2 linked regions of the Oryzias latipes genome follow. The protein of the gene in region 2 purifies or fractionates together with the protein of the main gene of each other region. This does not show direct contact. Links are inferred from orthologs where the notes say so. Each region holds a gene or a part of one and is shown on either strand. Other genes may lie near its edges.

The links.
Region 1: the proteins of pla2g4a (region 2) and protein S100-A10 purify together in Homo sapiens (affinity purification with western blotting; 3 studies listed by BioGRID). This does not show direct contact. The link is inferred for Oryzias latipes from reciprocal best matches to the Homo sapiens genes PLA2G4A and S100A10.

Annotation. Positions count from the first base shown.
Region 1 is NC_019869.2:1,215,946-1,219,340, reverse strand, and holds protein S100-A10, read right to left. Parts: upstream 1,821-3,395; 5' UTR 1,775-1,820; intron 1,163-1,774; 5' UTR 1,143-1,162; coding exon 1,014-1,142; intron 941-1,013; coding exon 779-940; 3' UTR 699-778; downstream 1-698. UniProt on the Homo sapiens protein: Because S100A10 induces the dimerization of ANXA2/p36, it may function as a regulator of protein phosphorylation in that the ANXA2 monomer is the preferred target (in vitro) of tyrosine-specific kinase.
Region 2 is NC_019862.2:15,083,513-15,088,111, reverse strand, and holds the start of pla2g4a (cytosolic phospholipase A2), read right to left. Parts: upstream 3,087-4,599; 5' UTR 2,459-3,086; intron 1,969-2,458; 5' UTR 1,875-1,968; coding exon 1,857-1,874; intron 681-1,856; coding exon 599-680; intron 471-598; coding exon 322-470; intron 1-321. UniProt on the Homo sapiens protein: Has primarily calcium-dependent phospholipase and lysophospholipase activities, with a major role in membrane lipid remodeling and biosynthesis of lipid mediators of the inflammatory response.

The sequences.
Region 1 (3,395 bases), on a different chromosome or scaffold from region 2:
TCTCAGTTTCTTCATACAATCAAGGATCTCTACGGTGGTGAGTTGTGCGGCTCACTCATCCTAAAACAAACAAACAGCAGGAAAGTTGGAAAAATGAACTCAGCTGTGTGGGATGTGGGTGTGAACCTCTGCAGTCACACACACAGTCAGAGCCCCGTAACCTAGCAACCACAGTGTTTGCCCTGTAACCACGAACAATGATCAACCGAGATCTGGCCCCCGCCCATAAATGTGTGCACAGAGCTCAGCGAGCGTGCAGACGTTAACCCCTGGGTTTAGTTTTTCCGGCATTCGGTGACCCGCCGCGGGTGGCATGAGTTGCTATGGAATAAGCTGAGCTGGTTGTTTCTTCTCCTTTTGCTTGGATTTCACCAAATCCAGCAAATAACGGATGTTGTGAGAAAATGGAAGGGCTGATCTCCATGTGACTCAGGCCCTCCACATTCTTGCAGTGGGCTGCGACACAGAAGCACATTTCACCGCGTTGCCCAATCTCAGTGTTCCTGAACGCTCCACAAAGCTGAGAGTTTCAACATCAGCTGAGTCAGTCAGCAGATTCCTCAGGGAAATGATAAACAGGACTTTATGGAAGGGAGGGGGCAAGGTTTACCTGCCCTGTCCTCTTTAAAGAGACGCAGTCTCCTGGTCTCAGCTGCAGCTTTAACCAACAGCACATACACACAGACACACACAACAGCTGACAGTCCAGTTTCTTTAATGGATAAAACAATCTTTACAACAAAAATTGAAATGCTTTTGGGTTTCTTCCCATTGTTCTTCACTTCTTCCCTCGCTTCTTCATCTCCATCTGGTAACATTGCTCACAGGCGACCGACAGTCCAACAACCAAAGACACAAACTCCTCAAAGTCCACTTGGCCGTCCCCGTTGGCGTCCAGGTCCTTCATGATCTTGTCTACGGCGGCGGGGTCCTTCTGAGCCTGCAAGAGGTAAAGGAGGGTCAGCCCACAATCCAACCCACAGATTCAGCCCTCTCCTCGCCGGTTTCTGCACCTTGAGGAAGTTGGAGAGCTCGTTCTCCATCAGCTCCCGGAGCTCCCGCCGGTTGAGCTGGTTGTCTTTGGCGTAGCGGTGGAAGACCTTGATGAGGGACTCCATGGCGTTCTCCAGTTCTGAAGGCATGATGCTGGAACGTTCTGAGACTTGAAAAGAGCAGCAGGAAGCGTTGAACATTTTCATCATTTGCTGAGCCATCAAAAAAAGGTTTAAGGAAACTTATGGGGTTTTTTAAGGGGAAAATCTGATTCAAATTTGAGAACATTAACAAAAATAGAATGGCATGGATAGCAATAGAAGGGATATAAAGAAGTAAAAAGTCTGTATGCCACTGTAATCACAGTAATCTTTCTGTAAAAGCATCCAGATGCTTGTTTGTCTTTTGAGGACTGTTTGAAGCCCAGAATGAGAGGGGACAGAAGAAAAGCCCAACACATGTGAAAACATGCCCACAGTCCAACCACACCCTTCCTCACACTCCCTATAGAGGAACCACACAGCAAAGATGCAAAATGTCACAGAAATGGGAAAAAGTGCCACATCGTCTGACGGTTTCCCAACGAACTGCTAAAGTCTGCAGAAATCTGCTGTCAAAAAAGGAAAGTTGTGAAAAAGTTGAATCGTTGACAAGGAAGTCTCAACTAGAAAAGCCCACCACAGATCTAGATCACACAGATCCCTCCTCAAGAACATTCAGGCCGATGGAGCGACAGAAAATCATGAACAACTGGAGACGGAGCAGAACCGTTAGATCTTACCTCACAGGGCAGAGCAGAAGCAGAAGTGCACTGAGGAGGAGTTGAGGAGCAGCAGGAGCAGCAGCAGCTTTATAGGGAGGCGCCGCCCTGACCGCCGCACAGTGACTCACTCAGACTCCACAGGATTGGAGGAAAGCCTCTGGTCACAGAGAGGTCTGACAGTCTTCAAAATAAAAGCAGAAAACTGACTTTTTAAGTCAGACTACAGTTTCCCATCTTTTACTAGAAACACACAGGAACTTCATCTGGACATCAATTTAATGTTAATAAACACAGAATAACTATGACTTTAAAAACACGTATGTCAGCTTCACGGCAGTGAATCATAGAATATATGGAATATCTGCTATCAAACCGCAGACCAACAACACACCCTGGACCGTAAGCAGAAGGAAAGTCCAAACTTCCATTGAATTGTCTGCCTAGATTGATGGCGCCCTCTAGTGGAAACACATCTGTCCATCATGTCTGCTGGAGCGTCCGGCAGGGAACACAGACGCAGATTTGATGAAGGTAAATGAACTTCTTCTCTCCTTTCTGCATCTGTCAGGTCAAGTACTGAGTTTATGGAAATATTTCAATGTAAAAACAGGAAATCCACATCGTTTTTCCGTCTGATTCATAAATGTCTGCAGTGTCGGACCGTCAGTCAGTACTTTAATGACTAAATGAGGCAATGACCAAAGGGTACTTTTTAAACATGGTGGCAATGACAAAGAGAGGATCTATCGATCTAAACCCTACATGTAGAAACAGTTCATCAAGGTGTTCTCTTGTGAATAAATGTGTGTTTGAAGAACGTGTATTGTGTGTGTTTGTGAGCTTCAGCAGGTCGTGTCCATGTGACTCCTGCTGCTGTGGAAACCTTTCAGCAAGCAGGACTCTGGGTTTGGTGAACGGTAAAAGGCGTAGACTGATATAGTGCTTTTTTATCTTCCTCGAAGGCCCAAAGCGCTTTACAGTCACACACAAACATTCACAAACTGGTGGCGGCTCCGCTGCCGAAAGTTGGCGCCAACCTTCCACCATGAGGCAAGGTGGGGTTCGGTTTCTTGTCCAAGGACCGCCCTACCCCTGCACCACAGCCGCCCCATTTGGTTTGGTCTGGAACCGTTAAATAAAATATAAAATAAATAAAGCTCAGACACAAAAGGGATTTGTACAAATATACAATCTGTTTGTCTGAAGATCTATAAATCCCTGCAACACGGATATCACAAACCAAAGCAGGTTTCCATGGAGACTGGAAGGACCCAACAGCTGAAGCAAAAGGCTGGAGAGCAGAGTGGATCTAGAAATCTTTATTTAGCTTGTAGGTTGTATGCTGGGATTAGATCCAAAAAATCTAGAGATGCTTTATCTTTTTAGTATTTAGTTATTTGTTAGTTAGTTGATTATTAATGTTTGACATATTTATTTATTTAGACTGTTTTATTTGAATTAGTTTTTGTAATTGTGGTAAGTCTGCGTCTTAAAAAATATATTTTTAAATTTCTGGTTTCTGGTTTCTGGTGCTGGTTCGGTGGATGTGGTCCAAGGAACGTGTCCCGGTCTCTGTTAGGCACAGGAAGTCCAAACACTCCAACGTGAGGGTGTCGTTGGAACCAAACTGAAATGATTG
Region 2 (4,599 bases):
GGTATCATAAAGTTTTCCAGCAACACAATACATATGGCATAGCATTAAAGGACTAATGTTTTGAACAGTCATTAATTCTTTCTTCAAGTTAAAATAGGTGTGCTTTGTTTTAGCTTTTCCTTGCATGACTCTATAAACAACATGTGTCATTCTGCTCCTACTTTCCACTAATGATACAGGCATATTGCTCAATATTGGTCAAAAATGGTGCTAAGTAACAGTTTGAAAACAAGAAGACTGCTTATATGGATTTATGCAAGATTGCATTACCACCTGCATTAATGTACTGGATCAGATTGGATTGTAAAATGCATGTCTTACCTCCAAGACATTTTGCTGGTTGGGATCCAAAATGAAATGAAATGTCTCATTCCACTTTGGATTGATGTCATTGTCGATATGCTTGGTCCTTTTCCTGCTTTCCGGGGCTGTTGGGATGAACAGCTCCACATATGGATCTGGGGTATCCACTATATACAAACAGAACACATGCTGATTTTTCTCCCTCTTTTTTTGCATGGTTTTAAATGTTTTTAGTCCAAAAAATGCATGCATAGTATTCCACACAATTACACCAAATATTTGAGCTAAAACTTACACAGATCACCCAGCGCTCCTTTGGTGACGTTCTCAGCTCGGACCACTGTCACAGTGAATTTGTGTGAGAACTGTTGTTCCACCTGTGCACAACATCACTCAGTTCAGTTGGGTTTTACCCCTTGTAAATCAAAGAAACCTCAATAAAAACTATACTGGACTACATTACAACCTCCTTTCAATTAAATTAAACTAATTTGTACAAGAGCTCTGTTTTGACTCAACTATAAAAAAGATCATGTTCCATTTACTCTGGAAGACAACATATGGCACTCCTAAAAGGAAATTCAATTCAGCCTTGTCCAAACTGGGCCAATCCTGACAGTTTATTTAGTATGGAGCACGTCTGATACAACAAGACTGTACAAGAGGAAGAAGTAGTAATCATATTTTGGTGGCAGGTCTTGTCATCAGTCTGGGATCATCCAATTGATTGGGTCTTGTGAAATTTTACACAGAACTGAGACTTTCTTGCCACCCAATTCAATCATTTTTATGTTAACGCATTATTTCAAATGTTATGAATTGAAGTAGTAGTGTTTCCTTATATTTAAACCTGCATGTTTAATTAAAAAACAAAATACATTTAATGTTATGCTTTGACGGGTGTTTGTAACTTCTTCTTTCCCAATGCTTGAACATGGTAAATGGCGTATACTTATATACAAGGCCCAAAGCGCTTTACAGTCACAGACCCATTCACCCAGTCACACACATTTACACACTGGTGACGGCTCTGCTGCTGAACACTGGTGCCAACCTCCTACCAGAGGCAAGGTGGGGTTCAGCGTCTTTGACACAGCAAGGACACATTGACTCATGGGCGTGCAAGGCGGGAATCGAACCTGCAATAATATGATCATGGGTCGACCGCCCTACCGCTGCACCAAGGCTGCCCTGGCCCCCACTGCCGCCCCCGCCCCATCACAGCGGAAGTCTTGTTTATTGCGTCAGTGGTATTTATCTAACTCCACAAGGTTTCAGATAACCAAGAACTGTGAAACTAATTGAAATGGAGCAAAGAATGCAATGTGAATGTGAAAATTGAACAAGTAATCTCACATATGAGTTTTAGAACAGCTATCCATCAGCCACTGCTGTAATGAACCTTGTTGCTGTCAAACCATAGCAACTTTAGTCCTTTTTTTCAATCCTCAGCTCACTCCACCGTGTTCTTATCAAACAACTGATTTGCTTTTTGTTGCAACAACTTTAACTATTTACACAAAGTTAAATTCCTGCATTTATAGGGTACTTACAATTATGTTGGAAGCCATTGTATTGTTGGGTAAATATATCTCACGAAACCCTTCAATGAGATGGGCTCTTGAACTCAGGGGATCATCTGTCACTTGAACGATGCATGAAAAACTGGAAGGAGACATGCAAATGAGAATTGAACAGTTCTGCCTGGCCTGTCGACCTCAGAGAGCACATTTTTACACGGAGGTGCAGTCACTACATTAAGGAAAACTTTCCTGAAAGAAAAAACAAACATTTAATTGGGTCTCTATTGAGATATCAGTACAGCATTTTAGAAACAGGAAGTGTGTTTAGCTTCATGCGGGTGATAAGAAGGAAATGTTTATCTAAGTGCGTGTGTATTGCATGCATTACATTCCGTTTCAGAGAGGTGTGTCTATGCTGTGCGTAAAAAGGCTAATTGTAGTAGGATTAATTATCTTTCTTTGCAATGGAGGAAAACATAAATTTGCATGATGCGTCGTAGCTGACTCTCCTCTAAATTCGCCAGAGCGTGTGATTACAGCGCGCACAGAGAGGCACGTAGAGCGTCTGCGCGTTCACAGCAGCGATCACGTAGTTGGCGGCAGAGGTCCAACTTTTAGAAGTGCCAGCTCACCCTGGTTCTGGGAGCAGCGGCACACAATGAGGGGGGCGCCAAGCTCTGTGCGTTTGCCAAAGCAATTTGGAGCACGCCGCGCAGAATTTTCATAGGAGAGAGAAAGGCGCCGACTCCTGCGAGCTGGTCTGATGATGCAAAGCAGTGACGCCTGGAACAAAGCGCACAGTGAAGCCTGCTCAGGTGGAGCTGCAGCACTCCTACCTGAGACGGTCGAGTGAAAAACCAGCTCGGACTACTAGCTCTTTGAATCACAAAAACATTTCCCATGAATTCAGACTGTTGTGCATTTAAGAATAGTAACCGCTTTTTCCGGATTACTAGTCTTACGCACGAATCGGCACCGCGCCAGCAGGTTTCGCCCGAATATAGATGAACAGTCAGTTTTGACTGCAGAAAAATAGAACATTTTGTGCTAAACAGTCTAACAAAATATCCAGAAGCAATAATAAACTGACAAAACTTTAGTAATTCTTCATGAATGCCTGTTTTATTTTGTTCACAGAACTTGAAAATATCAGGCTACTAGTGACGAGTACGAATTAAAGCGACAACTTCAAATCGTTAATTTCCTTTTTTTAAGGGGGGGTCACGTATATAAGTGTCAATTTTCACACAGTTGTAAAGCTTTATCTATCAACAAACAACAACATTCTGTGTTAAGACAAACAATGAAAAGACAACATACCTTTCACAGGCAGTTTTCAACTCACAAATCCAGTTGAATGAGACATTTTCGACCGAACAAGTTCAAGAGATCAGTAGTATCGAATGGACGTCCTTTTGGTCACGTAACGATCAAATTTGCATCAACGGTGGTGGCAGCTACAAGTATTACAAAAACAAAAATTGATATTTTGCAAGAAAATTGTGGACACCACCAAAAAGTCGGGAACGGCGCTGCAGGACAGACTGCTGGCAACGATCGCCTGCCCTCAACTCCAAATGCGCACGAGGGGCCACTTCCACACGTGGGCGTCGTTTGTCTCTTTTCTTAAATGAAGGTTTCCTTTCTTCTTTTTTCGATTCCATTTTATTAGAATAACTTTATAAATCTTTTAGGCATGTCTTTAGCCAGGGGATAATTTAGTATCCTGATTTCAATCCTGAATTTGACTTAAAAAATGTATTTTCAAATGAATGCAACCGCAGAAGTAATTCATATTTTAATTTTATTTGTTTATTATTATTTATTTAGAACGTGAAAAGTTATTATATTTTTTCATCATATTTTGGGTATAAATGTATAGATATTATAAATATGTATTTATGAATGCAAATTTAACCATAAAATTTAATGTATTTCAAATCCTTTTTGTGGAACAAATAGGGGGAAAACATTTATAGTTAATAAATGTAATTTTGTAGAGGAAAAATATTTATTAATCCGTTCTGACATGATAAACATCTCTTCTAGTCTGTGTTAGTGAAAATTAATGAAGAACTCTTCCTTAATAATCTGTTAATGACTTTAGGATTTACGGTTGAATAAACTCGGTGCCACTTTTTAATCAACATGAAATCTATCGTAAAAAAGAACAAACCAGTCACGGAGATGACGGATTATGGATTGCGAAAAATAAAATATTCCGGGGTTCGGAGGGATTACGGATCAAATCCTAAATTGGTGTGAGCGGGTTGGCCGGATGCTCTCCTTGTTTGCTAAACGGTCATTCATAAAACGATGACGTAACTACGTAACTATATAATTGCTGTGCCGAGGAAGCTTGCTCGTTTTCACTCTGAAACACTTGACGTTGGAGGACGGGAGCAAGAGAAGGAAAAAGGAAAACCTTCGAGCAAAAGATCAAACTCAGGAGCATGAACTCACTTAGAGCTGTGCTTCTTCTCTTGGCTTTGGGCGCTTCAGTCTGTGAAGGAGGTAAGAAGATGAGACTTAGAACAGAAACTCCAAGTTTCGCCTGAGCTGGTTTATGACATTTTCATTCGGTTTAGGTTAGAGAAGTAATCATTGTGTTCTATAGGTAATCCGTGTTGCTCATGGCCTTGCCAGAACAGAGGTGTGTGCACAAGTTTGGGTTCAGACAGTTATGAGTGTGACTGCACCCGCACTGGATATTATGGGCAAAACTGCTCAACGCGTAAGTATTTCAACTCTTACAATTTATTTTCAGTTCAAG